3 linked regions of the Oryzias latipes genome follow. The protein of the gene in region 1 interacts with the protein of each later gene in a biochemical or structural test. Links are inferred from orthologs where the notes say so. Each region holds a gene or a part of one and is shown on either strand. Other genes may lie near its edges. The genes, in order: dlg3, gda and cript.

Region 1 (4,329 bases):
TTTTTTTTTTGGCCTTCACCCTCTCACTTTCACTGGCTAGAGAAGGTGTGAAGTGGTTCCTGGTTTAAAAAAAAACAAACTAAAGCACCTGACTTCCTCGTGCTTTCGCTCCATGGAGACTCTCTGCAGGTTGGAGTGAAAGAATATCATTCTAATGAAGGGAGTTACTGTTGCATGTAATTAAGTGTGGCTGAGCTTGCTGTGTGTGCCTACTGGTTCGCTGCAGCACCGCGCTGAAGATCCTGATGAAGTTGATGCATAGATTGCATAGATCATAAGATGCATGAAATATCAAGGCAGTGAATGCCTTAGTGAGTGCAACATTGCAACATACAGGCCATATAGAAAGATACTCTCTCCCCCATGCAGACACACCCAGTTTGGATCCCCGTCACATTTCATTAATAATGCATATATGCAGGACTTTAATGGCGACACCGTTACATTCTCTCTCAGCTCTCTGTTATGATTAGCCTTCATCCCCTGTGTCGGAATCCGTTATATCTAGCTGTGATCAACCCACAAATTCACAAGTATGCAAAATGGTTCACTGGCAGTCCTATCACATTACTGCGAATATAACTGCCACAGATACATGAAAGCCATGTAGCTCTCATTCTTTCTTCTCCCCCCCTCGTGCATTTTCACTCTCAATCTCTTCCTCCACCCACTCGAAAGCCAGAGCGTGTAATCTTGTTGGTTTGGTACACATGTGTTGATGTCATCATCCTGAAGACACACAAAAAAATGTTCCTAAAAGAGGAGCACAGTTCTCTGCCTCTGTGTGTGTTTTGACCTGCACATGTGAGATGAAATATTTAGACTCCAGAGGACAACATTGCAAAGCAAAGCGAGGGGATTCTAAGATTTTTGCTGTCCAGAGGCAGGCCGAGTGTTATCCGCAAAGTAAAGGATTTTCCTCTGTTCCTCCCACACCCGTCGTGAGATTATTTACAGATGTGTGCTCTGACACAGAGCCCAAGGTTGACAGCTGACAGCCTCAGAAAGCAGCTAAATCTGCAGCTGAACTGGAGATGACTGGGGATGTGACCAGTGATTAGTCAGAGGGACAGAGTTGCTCATTGAAAGTTGGATTCTGGCTGCACTGGTTTGATGAAAAACACGGATTAAACTCGCAAAGGGTGGATTAGATTTTGCGTCGGGGTGTTATCCCTGTTTAACCGTAACATAGAAATTTTACAGTTTTGTTGGAGATCGTAAATGAAAGGAGCACATGTTGGGTGTTTAATGTGGCAATATTTGTGAAAGGTCCCTTCTTAGCCAATGGCAGAAAGCGATTAAGGTTTAGGTGCTGCTTCCCCTTTAAGAGGAGCTGTGGAAGTGCTCAGTCCTGTTGGTGCTGCTGCTGATGGCAGCGCTGAGAGTTGATTGGCTGCAGCTCTTAGGGCTGAGGTGCTAGAGGGATGCTGCTACGTATTCCTTTCCGCCCCTCCCTTTCTCTCTTCGCCACCCTCTAGCTTGCTCGCTTCCCTCTCAATAATCCACATCTAGGGCAAGCTGGCTGAGAGGCAACCAAGTGCTCAGCTCCTCTGCCGGCTGAGAAAAAGAGGAGAACGAAAGACCATTCTCAAAGCAGGACTAAAAACGTGAGATTTTTTTCAACCAACCGGAAGACAGCCAACGGAGGAAGATTTTCATCTGCGGATATCATTTATTTATACATATTGTTTATATATTTATATATATATTTGTACACACGCATATAGATATATAGATATATATATATATATAAATAATCTATATATATATATATATATATATACATTTATCTCTGTACATATCTGTAATTGTGCTTGTCTGTTTATATGACTATTTTTATATACTTGTGTGTGTAAATATATATATATATATATATATATAATCAGAATAATATATATACATACACACATGTGTGTATGTATATATCTATGAATTTATTTGCGTATCACTGTGAGCCAAGAGAAGCGAGAGGAAATTTTTGTCATCAGGGCTGGTCTCTGATTGCATGGTGGCATACAATATTTAAAAATTTTCCTTTGATCTTCTACGTCAAGAGGACAAAGACTACGTGACCATTTTGTATTTTTGTGTTCCTGTGCTGCTTGTCATCCATCCAGATCGCTCAGTTTTTTGTGTTTTTTTTAACCAGCATCCTAGAGGAATAAAGGCGTCGGTGGTGAGGATTTGATGAAAAGGAGCCAATCTGTAGAAATTCCTGCTATTAGTGTTATCTGTGCCGGCATTAGCACTCTGTGAACCGATCACAGAGGGTTCTGTGAGATCTGAGGAGGCAGCAAAGACAGAGTGCTACGCCGCCCATCTCAGCATCAACCCAGCCAGCACAGCCAGCATGCACAAACACCACCACTGCTGCAAGTGCCCAGAATGTTATGAGGTAACCCGGATGGCTGCCCTGCGTAGGATGGACGCCCCGGCATATGGAGGAGACTGGCAGGCTGAACCCTATGGATACCCACCAGGGTATGGAGGTGGACAGACCTTACCCCCTCCAGCTTCAGGGGGAGGTGGAAGCATGGGAGGAGGAGGGGGAACTTTGGGAAGAAGTAAGGGGAAAATGATGTCTGGAGGAGGCCCTGGAGGCCCCAACCCAAAAGGCCAGTCCAAGAGTGGCCCAAAAGTAAATGGTAACAACTCAAGTGGACAAGGAGGATGGTGGCCTGAGTGCACCTGCACCAATCGGGAGTGGTACGACCAGGTAACCCATCTTCCTGACTTCTTTAACCAATTGAAGCTTTTGGGGCCTGTGTGGGAAGAAGGGGACGTAAATGCAACTGTAGGCTAATATAGTGAAACAGAAGCTGATGATGTATCAGCTGTGTCTGAAAGAGAGTTCATATGGAGTATTTATCTCAAGCCCTCTGGTTCTTTTTTGACAACTGTTGTCCCTCTAGTAAAACAGGAATGATCTGGTTTCACTGCGCACGCATGGAGATGATCGTCATGTTTGGGATTGATGCAAATGACTAATGTTTTAGATTTAACACATCATGTAGATGAAATCAACTAGTCAAAGGCTTGTGCAGCAGCCGCAGGCCCAAACCACTGCTCTATTGGCATTGAAGCATTTCTCAGGTGCTATCAATAGGTTTAGGAAATTCGATGTAAAACATTCATACTTCTAGCAACATCAAATATATGGGTTTTGTATCATTAGACAAGAGGAGGAAATGAGGAATTGGTTTAATGCGGCCTCACTTATATTAGTGCGCAAATTTAGCTTAAAGATTCACAGCCTAATGTATTAGTTGTGTAATACAGATAAAAAACATGTTTCAAAAGGCTGGAAATCTGTCCCACAGAACGAACAAAACCTCCCCTTCCAGCGTTTCCTAATTCATTTATTTACACGTGTTTATGACTTACAGTTGAGGAAAGGTCAGGACGGCTTCAGAAGCACCCTTTAATTAAGCAAGGTGCATGTATGAGAGCACCAGTGATCCTGTGTGGGGGAAGGGTAGCTCGGAGAGCATGAGATTCAAGAAACCGTGCTAGCCGTGCATGAGTATGCGTCTATACGGTCTCTCATTTGCGTCAAGTGAAGCTGGTGCATTGTTTGCATCTCCTCTGCTTTAGTGTGATGGGTTTTTTTTTTGCGAGGAAGAGTTGAAAGAAAGGAGACGAGGAGAAAATGGAGGCTACGAATGTGCAAGCAGAGTGGGAGAGATCTGCTGAGCTGAACCTTCTTATGAGCCTGGCTGATATTAGCAGGCAGGAATTTAAGCTTTTTTGGGGGGCAAAAAGATGAGCATTTGTCCCCGGTTAGAACTGCACCTCAACTCAAGCAGGTGCATTTAATGTTGATGGCATTTAAAAGGTTTCAGCAAGCGAGATTATGTAAGAAATTGTTGCTTACATGCAGACTTTAGAATCCATTAGTTTTAATCTGCAAGGCTTCAGGATTGTAAATTTAGTAGCAATAAAATGTCCTTTTCAACTGCTTTGCGATTAATTTACATTTGATAAGGGTAGCACTGAGGTTAGAAACCTGTGTGGGGTTTTCTAAAGGGTAAAACATCCAGGATTGGTTAATTTTGGGAACTAAATGCATTGTTTTCTTTAATGTTGTTTGTTTCCATGCAGACCTGTGATGGACTGACAGTTTGTCCAGATTGCACGCCTTCCCTTTCTCAATGAGAGCTTGGGTTCTGATGTTTTGTTTTGTATTAAATGAAGGCTTTTTGTTTATACTTATACTTTTTATTAGCACATTAATGAATACATTTTGCTTATATTAACCCACATGGAGCTCCAGACTAGTTGAAACCAGTTAGCGGGTGCAACCTGTCACCATGACAGTACATCCTCTCT
Region 2 (4,145 bases), on another chromosome or scaffold:
GAGACTTAAGTTCTAAATAGATTTATGCTTACTCTTAATTTAGGAAGGTTTCTTACATTTTTTTTAAATAATTGGTCTGCCATTTTTGCCCAGGTGTTGAAACTATTGAAACGTTTATGTGACTTTGATTTGTGAGTGAAGGGGATTTTGAGCTATAGTTGGGTGCCACTGGGTGCCATGCTGAAAGTTCAGCCACATAAAGTCAGATAACTTTTACCTTCCAAAAAAATGATGTAATGTTTTCCATGAAGTAACTTTTACTCAGAAATAAGAAATGTCAGAGAAAGTTCTCCTTTTTCTGCATCAAGTCACAGGATAACCATAAGTTCTGTGCAGATCATCCCTTTGGTGCATGCTAGCATCATCATAAATTCATGTCATTAGTCATGTGGACTTTATAAATATAACAATGTTGTAACTTCAATGTGTTTCTCATAAATATGAATGTGTTGGTCACAGAGGGGTCACATTCCCTTGTTAATGCACCTCACTGGGCTTGTTTTCTGCATATACAATATTATTTGAAAAAGAAGAATCTTTTCCTCTATAAAATCTCTGAATTTCATGTTCCATAGTCATTAAAAATGTTAGCGTGTTCATTTTTATAGAAAAAGAAAAAACGGGTACAATTACACTAAAAGGTGACTATTACATTTTGGATGAAGGCAGGGTACAACCATTCATACAGGGACACATGTAGCTAAATACTCTAAGCACCCTCATAAAGACGTCTTAAAATCTTGAATTTAACATGTTTTTAAGCTGGATTGTTAAATTAAACCTGTATACATTTTAAAAGTACATCACCTAAAGGGTATCAAGTATATGAATGAGAAGCCAGCACCTAAACTTTGGTCATAAATCTATTAATTATTTCACAGATTATTTAATGGTCGGGAATTCTATATCATAAAGTTAATTTTTAAAAATCTGTCTCCCTGTTAAAAATTACAATGTTATGTGCCAATTTGCAAAGCATTTTTAAAGAAAAAAAATAGTATAACATTTTGCTTTATTTATAAAAGGATGTACTTGGAATTACTTTCAGAAGTTGATGGACTTCAACGAGCCTTTTTCATTATGTTCCTGCATATTATATGTTGCCATTCTTATATAACATTTAAAGTTAATGCAAAGTTTGGCATACTCTTTGGAACAATAGAAAAGATGAGGGCTTACTTTCCTGCACGCCAACAAAAAAGCGTTTATGGATAAACCCAAGCCGCGCGGGCAGACGCACCTGAAAAAGCGCAACCACCTCCTGTCCTTCTATTGGCTGCTGGAAGTCCTGCCTCCTAGTGGGTGTTACTCTGAGCTTCACTTAGAATAAAAATCCACCGGCCAATGTCAAACTGAGTGATTGACAGTGATCTGGAGGAAAGATGGCAAACTCGGAGTGTTCCAGCGGCCCAGTTACGCACGTTTTCAGGGGGACATTTATCCACTCGACCCCCGAAACGGCGCTGCAGGTCCTGGAGGACGCGCTCCTGGGAGTGGACACTGCCGGGAAGGTTGGTCCCTTTCTGAAATGAAAATAAAAACAAAACGAAATATTTGCATTTTTGCGTTTCACTGGTTTTAAAAATAAACGAATGTATGTTAATGTTAATTTTCGCAGCATTTGTTTACTTTAAATCCCCGTGAATCTAAAGCAAAGTGCAGGTCTTTTTTTTCAACTGCTATTAATCACATAACCTAATAGTCTAGTTATGGTAAACTTTTATTAAATACTGTTTAAGTTTTTGAACACAATAAAAGGATGAGGCTAAATAAACAGCAAAACTTCTCCCTAGAAAGTAAAATAAAAATTAAGAAAATACTAAAGTTAGTTTTTCTCAGTTTGCACTCAAGCATTATAAAACAATGTTGCAGCATTACTCTGAGAATAGTGCAACAATATTGCCCTAAAATACCTCCTGAGTGGGGATCTTCCAAGTACAGTCTATTCAAAGTGTTATTAATTCTTTTCAAATTTATTTTTACATTGCACAGAATTTTATCAACATTTTCACCTTTCACATCTTGCAATTTTCAAAAAGAATTTACCTGATTTCTTTTTGGCTTGTCAGATTTCTTTCATTGGAAAGGGTGAAAACTTACTGGAACTGTCTCAGAAGTTTGGATTCAACCCATCAGACGTCAATCAACTGGCACAACAGTAAGTCAAATCAAAACCTTTAGTTGTAGATTTACAAGTTTTGATTTTAGTTGATTGGGATGGATGAGTTTGAACACGATCGTCTTGAAAAAGGACCAAAAATGAATGAATGAACTCAACGTAAAGGGGAATCTGCATGGGTAATAGCATCATAATAGCAATAATATTGGTCGGCAAAGACGGGATGTAAAAAACACATCTTTGAAACATAAATGTGCATATCTTGCTTTAAAATATATATTATAAATGAAATATGATTTGAAAAATGCATTTTTTATCTAACTTTAATTTGATTCTGCAGTGAGTTCTTCATGCCAGGAATGATTGACACACACATCCATGCATCCCAGTACAGCTACGCAGGCACAGCCTTGGACATGCCTTTACTGCAGTGGCTCAATACTTACACCTTCCCTGTGGAGTCACACTTCAAGGACTTGGAGTTTGCCAAGAAAATCTACACACAAGTAGTGGTGAGTTTTGGCAAATGGTATCTTTGAGACTAAACAGTCTCAGCATGGCCCTATAACAAAGGTTGTTGGGTCATTTTAGTGTCATAAAGACACCGTATGCTTGCAGTTTTTCATGTGGCCTTTGAGATTTGTAACCTAAACTGTACAGGCATTTAAAATGAGTGTTAATCCATGCTTTGGTTTCTGTGCTTTACAGAAGAGGACTTTAAGAAACGGAACAACAACTGCATGTTACTTTGCTACCATACATACAGATGCCTCTCTTCTGTTGGGTCAGATTGCAAGTAAGATTTCCTACATGCAAACCCACACATGCATTGATCCTTTTAAATATGGGCTTCCTCAAACAGCATGTCCCATCTCCAAAGAGTACACAAAAACACAGATTATTAAAAAAAAGAAAACGTACTTTTAAAGCATAATTTTCAGACAACTTTAGAAACTCATTGTGACGATTTAAGTAAATTTTTCCCACTTTATTATGCAGCACCTCTTCCAGTTGTACAGTATCCGTTAAAAGTAGAGCACCAGCTCAAAGTACAATACAAGTTCAGGTATCTTAACTGTTTTAAGGAGAATTGCTTCTCTCTTCAGTTAAAAATCCTGTAAAATCTGAATGGAGCTTCACCTTTATGCTTTGTCCTTATCAATGTGCTTGCGTCATTCAGAACACATGGTCACATAAATGTGTAACGATGCAGCCGAGCTGAACCAAACATTGGCTTTGACAGTTTTACAGTCATTTTATGTAATCAGGTACATTGAACTCTAACCTTTGTCCTCCTTACAGCTAGCTGTTACTTCTTGAACATCAGTTTTCAGCATTGGTACATTTATTATCTTGCATCCATGTGCTCTTTAAAATTTGTACTTTCGTTTCCCCTTTTGTGCGTTGTATCAGGCAGTTCGACTCGGTATAGCATTCAGAGTTAGATTAAGACAATGACTAAGCATGTAAAATCAGATAAAATTTTCCTTGGTCATACAATTCCTTTCAGAAAATCTGATATAAATGTGCATTCTCTAACTTCATTCCAGATGTTTAGTCACAGTAGCACAAACAGGCGCAGCAACAGCTCTCCACCCTAAGTCACCCGCTGATCATGCACTGAATCGGTGACACTTGGGGAAGCACATCCTTGTTACACACATGCAAAAAGCGTCTGAAAGATTTGTATCTCAGCATCTCAGATGAGGAAGAATACATCCGGCCAGGTTAAAAACAAACTTAATTCAAAACAAATTAACCTGGTTTTAGATTTTTCCTTTTTTTTCAAATTAAAAAAAATAACTAAACGTGCTGTACAAAGGTCTACCACATGCATGCTCAGGTTACTAAAGAGTGGAACAAGGATGGGATTGGGTCTAAAAAGTAAAAAGTAAAAACTAAACTATACTGATAAAATTATTTAAAAAAATATCATTATTAATCAAATATCCTGGGGTAATTAAACACAACAGTGGACTGAAAAAGTGTTGACACTGGAAATGTCATTGCAGGTCATGACAGGAAA
Region 3 (4,098 bases), on another chromosome or scaffold:
AAGATTTTTTTCTAATAGACTTACTCAATCAACGGGGCTCCATAAAGGACAATCACAGTGTGGAAGAACAGACATGACAAGAAAAAGTACAGACAGGCACGAAACAGCCTGGAAAGCTGTGGAAAGAAACAGGATTATCATTATTACCAAAAAGTTACAACGTAGACATTTGAGAAAAATCCACTTAAAAAATGAACAATTTTTATATGTAAAAGCTCAGAAAAATTATTTTTTTATATGAGTTTGTTGTAGCAGAAAAATGTTAATAAGCAACAATTGCATATAGACTGTCATATGAATTTAAAATGTTTAACGTGAAAATAAAGCACTGTAGCAAATGTTTATAAACTCAATTAAAAATGTGTTCAAATCAGAAATACACATTTCTAATTATTACTGAAACGTCCATTTGCAAATTTGTTTTTTAAAAACGAGACAAAACGTTTACGAGTAAATAATAGGAATTAATTGTTTTGAAAAACCTAGTTTTCTATTATTTTAAATTGTGTAATAATTATTTCTGATACTTCTCTCATATACGTATGACTATTTGGCAAAAACCTTAAACAAATCAAGCACATTTCTTTGGGTTTGGACAAAATAAAGACATTTCCGAGGGAAGACATTCTGACCTTATATCCAAGTGTATTTTTTTTAGTGGACGGTGTGACGCCGAGGAGCCAGAAGACGACGACACTGACAGCATTCACAGCACCGGATGTGCAGTACAGCCACAACAGGTGAGTGCCGTACACCGAGAAGCTTAGAACAAAAACTGCAGGTAGCACCGTAGCCATGAACATCGAAGCGGCGATCAGAGCGTGGGTCGACACCATGGCTCTGATTTCGTGGTCCCACATGATGAAGACTTTCACTTTTCACAACAAGACAATAGAATAATGTAGATAATTTCAGTAGAGGTGTCTTAGAATTTTGGTAGGCGAAAGGACACGCAAATCCATGTATGACTACGCTTCCGTAAATATGAAAAAAAAAAAGCAATTTCCGTTTGCGTTTCACAATAAAACAGAAGATTCTCTTTTGATTGTTAATTTCTACCAATTTCTTTGTTTTGACATACATTACCCAACATATTTAAATCATATTCAACACTTTATAATAAAATACTATTTTCTAAAGTGAAATTTATATTTTCGAGTGCTGATTCCGTGGCGAAAATATTGTTACTCTCATTTTACTTTTATTCTGGATTTTAGAAATGCGCTTCTAGTCGGAGTGAACGAATCACATAACGTTTTACTGACAGGATTACCCAATGAGATTTGTTTGTACAAGTTGACGAAGACAACCGGAAGTTACATGAGCAGAGCTAGCTTGAACGCTTGTACACATTTTATATCAAGACAGGCCAAGTAAACGCAGCTGAGATGGTTTGTGAAAAATGTAAATATCGCACTTTCGCCTTGTTTCTTACATAATTTTACACTTATGACTTAGTTAATATAGTTAGTTAGTGACATTTTTGTTGTTTTGTTGAGTGGCTAATATTTTGTTATGCTAGCATTTGTTTTGGTTTTCCTTGCTCGTAGTTAGCTTTGTTAATTATTAATAATTCTTTGTTAATGTGGGATTTCCTAATATTTTAGGCGAAAAGAAGCTCGGAAAGGTCATCACTCCTGACACTTGGAAGGATGGAGCACGAAATACGACTGGTAACGTAGTCTCTATCCAAAAACATCCAAAAATGTTTACACGTTTAATAATTTAGACAATCGTGGAACGACAGGTAAAATAAATATGTTGCCCCCAAAAAATCTGTCTTGTAAATGAACGTCATTAAGGAATCGAAACGATGGAAGGAGAAGCTACTGCTAAAATATTTATTAGAACAGTACTCATTTACATATCTGTTTTCCCCGTCGGTCGGTCGGTCGGTCGGTCGGTCTGTCTGTCTGTCGGTCTGTCTGTCGGCTCATTTTCGGCCTACATCATAAAATTGTCTATTTATTTAAAAGTATTTATGCCCTACGTTCCTTTTCAAGAAAATGGTCTGTGACCCTGTCGTACCAACTAGGTGTCTCAACTGACTTGACCAATGTCCTCTCAATGGCCAGCAGAGCTAGGCTGCTTAAACAGCCTTAGCCCATTGTGTTTCGGGTGTAGGACTTAAGTCACTTTAAACAGGAGAAGCTCCTTTCTACACCTGCAGATGTAACTCCAATTGTTGCCACTAATGAGAACAGTTTGTAAAGCTGAGGCATTGGACTGTCCAACTCCATGTCTTTAAGGAACACCAAGTAATCATACAGCTTTCCCCTGTTACCCTGCAAGTCCTGATCTGAAAACAGGACTTGAAGTTCTGACCTCAGTCTTCCTGAATCAAAGGGAAGAATTAACTATCTAAAAAAAAATATTAAACTCTGTAAAACTGAAACAATCAATGTGGTGTATAATTGTGTGAAATGTATGATGAAAATCAAGCAATTTAGCCCAGCAATTATCAAAGAAATAGGTTGCAGCAGTTTTTAGTTCGACTGAACTTGAGAAATGTGAATAAGCGAAAAGCTTCAGTCAGAAGGCGGTCTTTTAACAGACCCTTCAATCATCACGGAGAAGCTCGGAGTTTGGGCTGGCCCACTCCCCACTCACCCCCAGAGACGCTGAGCATCCGTTGGCGGGACATAATCACAGCGTTTATCCAATGACCATCTAGTTTCGAAGCGCAGAAAAAAAATGTTCAAAGCAGCCCGATTGAAGTCAATGGACGCTGGGCTTCTTTAGAGAAATGCACTGTGATGCTGCGGGAATGTATGAGAAGGAAATCGAGTCAGGCGACTTGCTATATGTAACTGATTCTTAACGAACTCGTCTTTGAGATGAACGTTTTCTTACACATTTTTAGTCAATAAAATGTTAATAAAATAAAATACAATACAATACAATAGTACATATTTGACCATTTATTTTGTGACATTATAAGGGAAGCAGAGCTTCCCTTGCAGTCTTAAAGAAATCGCCACTGGTATGTATGTATGTACATACATGTGTATATATAATCTCACAATGTTGTTTTATTTTTCTTAGAGAGTGGAGGCCGTAAACTAAATGAAAACAAGATGTTGACATCTAAGAAGGCCAGGTGAGTATTGCACTGTGAAAAAACTTTTACTCATAAATCAAATGGCAGTGTAGTAGTTTCTAGCTTTCTGTAAGCACTAGTGGTTTATTTTGCTGTTAAGGTTCTTTGATGTTGCTAATTCTCAATGTTTAACTGTGGTTTTTCTCAGGTTCGACCCTTACAGTAAGACGGGCTTTGCCATCTGCAGAATCTGCAAGAGCTCTGTTCATCAGCCTGGATCGCACTACTGCCAGGGCTGTGCTTACAAGAAAGGTATAGTTGTGCACTTAAACTCTATTTTTATTTTCTTCAATACAAATTGAAGGTAACATGTCAAAAATTAACACTACAATGTATTGTAGAACCAAAAATCATATTAAAGCAGAACAGTATTAAGTAGGTTTTTCATTTTTATGTTCAGTCATAATATTGATATAAATTTGTCTGTAATTTTGTAAATCTTTACTATAACCAACATTGTGCTGGCATATGTTTGTGCTTCCATAACAGATGCCCATTTATATAAATGTACACATGTTGGCAAGTCCTTTATTATCTTCTCACTACACACTTTAATTTATAAAATATCCTTTGATGTAAATGTAATTTTTTTAGGGTTCCTGGTGACTGATACAAAGAATTTAAAGGTATAGGAATAGGTTAACTTAACTGTTTGTTTATGTCTGTAAAGTATTTGAACTGAGTGATGAAATTCAAACCTCAAAAGCCATATTTTTACAAACCTCGACCCCAGCCCCAAGCACTCGGCTTGCAGAAGTGGATACAAGGTTTTACATTGATTGCAGAATTGCATGTTGTGCCCCAAATATTGCAGGTTTTGATGAAGTGGTCAAAAATAGCCCCTGAGCTAAAAATTATGCCTGAATATATGCACAACCCAAACTGCTGTGAAACAACAACTAAATGGGCAAAAATAAAATATTTATTTATTGAGATGTTTGTCAAACTTTGCTATTCAAGTGAAACCCAAAGGCTCAAACTTACCGGGTGGTGATATT

What was found.
Region 2: the proteins of dlg3 (region 1) and gda form a complex in vitro, tested with the Homo sapiens proteins (2 studies listed by BioGRID and IntAct, with this or other methods). The link is inferred for Oryzias latipes from reciprocal best matches to the Homo sapiens genes DLG3 and GDA.
Region 3: the proteins of dlg3 (region 1) and cript form a complex in vitro, tested with the Homo sapiens proteins (2 studies listed by BioGRID and IntAct, with this or other methods). The link is inferred for Oryzias latipes from reciprocal best matches to the Homo sapiens genes DLG3 and CRIPT.

What each region holds. Positions count from the first base shown.
Region 1 is NC_019868.2:11,302,557-11,306,885, forward strand, and holds the start of dlg3 (disks large homolog 3), read left to right. Parts: upstream 1-1,504; 5' UTR 1,505-2,350; coding exon 2,351-2,716; intron 2,717-4,329. UniProt on the Homo sapiens protein: Required for learning most likely through its role in synaptic plasticity following NMDA receptor signaling.
Region 2 is NC_019867.2:16,716,871-16,721,015, forward strand, and holds the start of gda (guanine deaminase), read left to right. Parts: upstream 1-1,330; 5' UTR 1,331-1,382; coding exon 1,383-1,511; intron 1,512-2,069; coding exon 2,070-2,158; intron 2,159-2,459; coding exon 2,460-2,631; intron 2,632-2,827; coding exon 2,828-2,915; intron 2,916-4,145. UniProt on the Homo sapiens protein: Catalyzes the hydrolytic deamination of guanine, producing xanthine and ammonia.
Region 3 is NC_019877.2:12,480,852-12,484,949, reverse strand, and holds the start of cript (cysteine-rich PDZ-binding protein), read left to right. Parts: upstream 1-1,275; 5' UTR 1,276-1,388; coding exon 1,389-1,404; intron 1,405-1,607; coding exon 1,608-1,673; intron 1,674-3,045; coding exon 3,046-3,100; intron 3,101-3,248; coding exon 3,249-3,352; intron 3,353-4,098. Other genes in the region: pigf (phosphatidylinositol-glycan biosynthesis class F protein), read right to left, coding at 25-116, 633-860. UniProt on the Homo sapiens protein: As a component of the minor spliceosome, involved in the splicing of U12-type introns in pre-mRNAs. Involved in the cytoskeletal anchoring of DLG4 in excitatory synapses.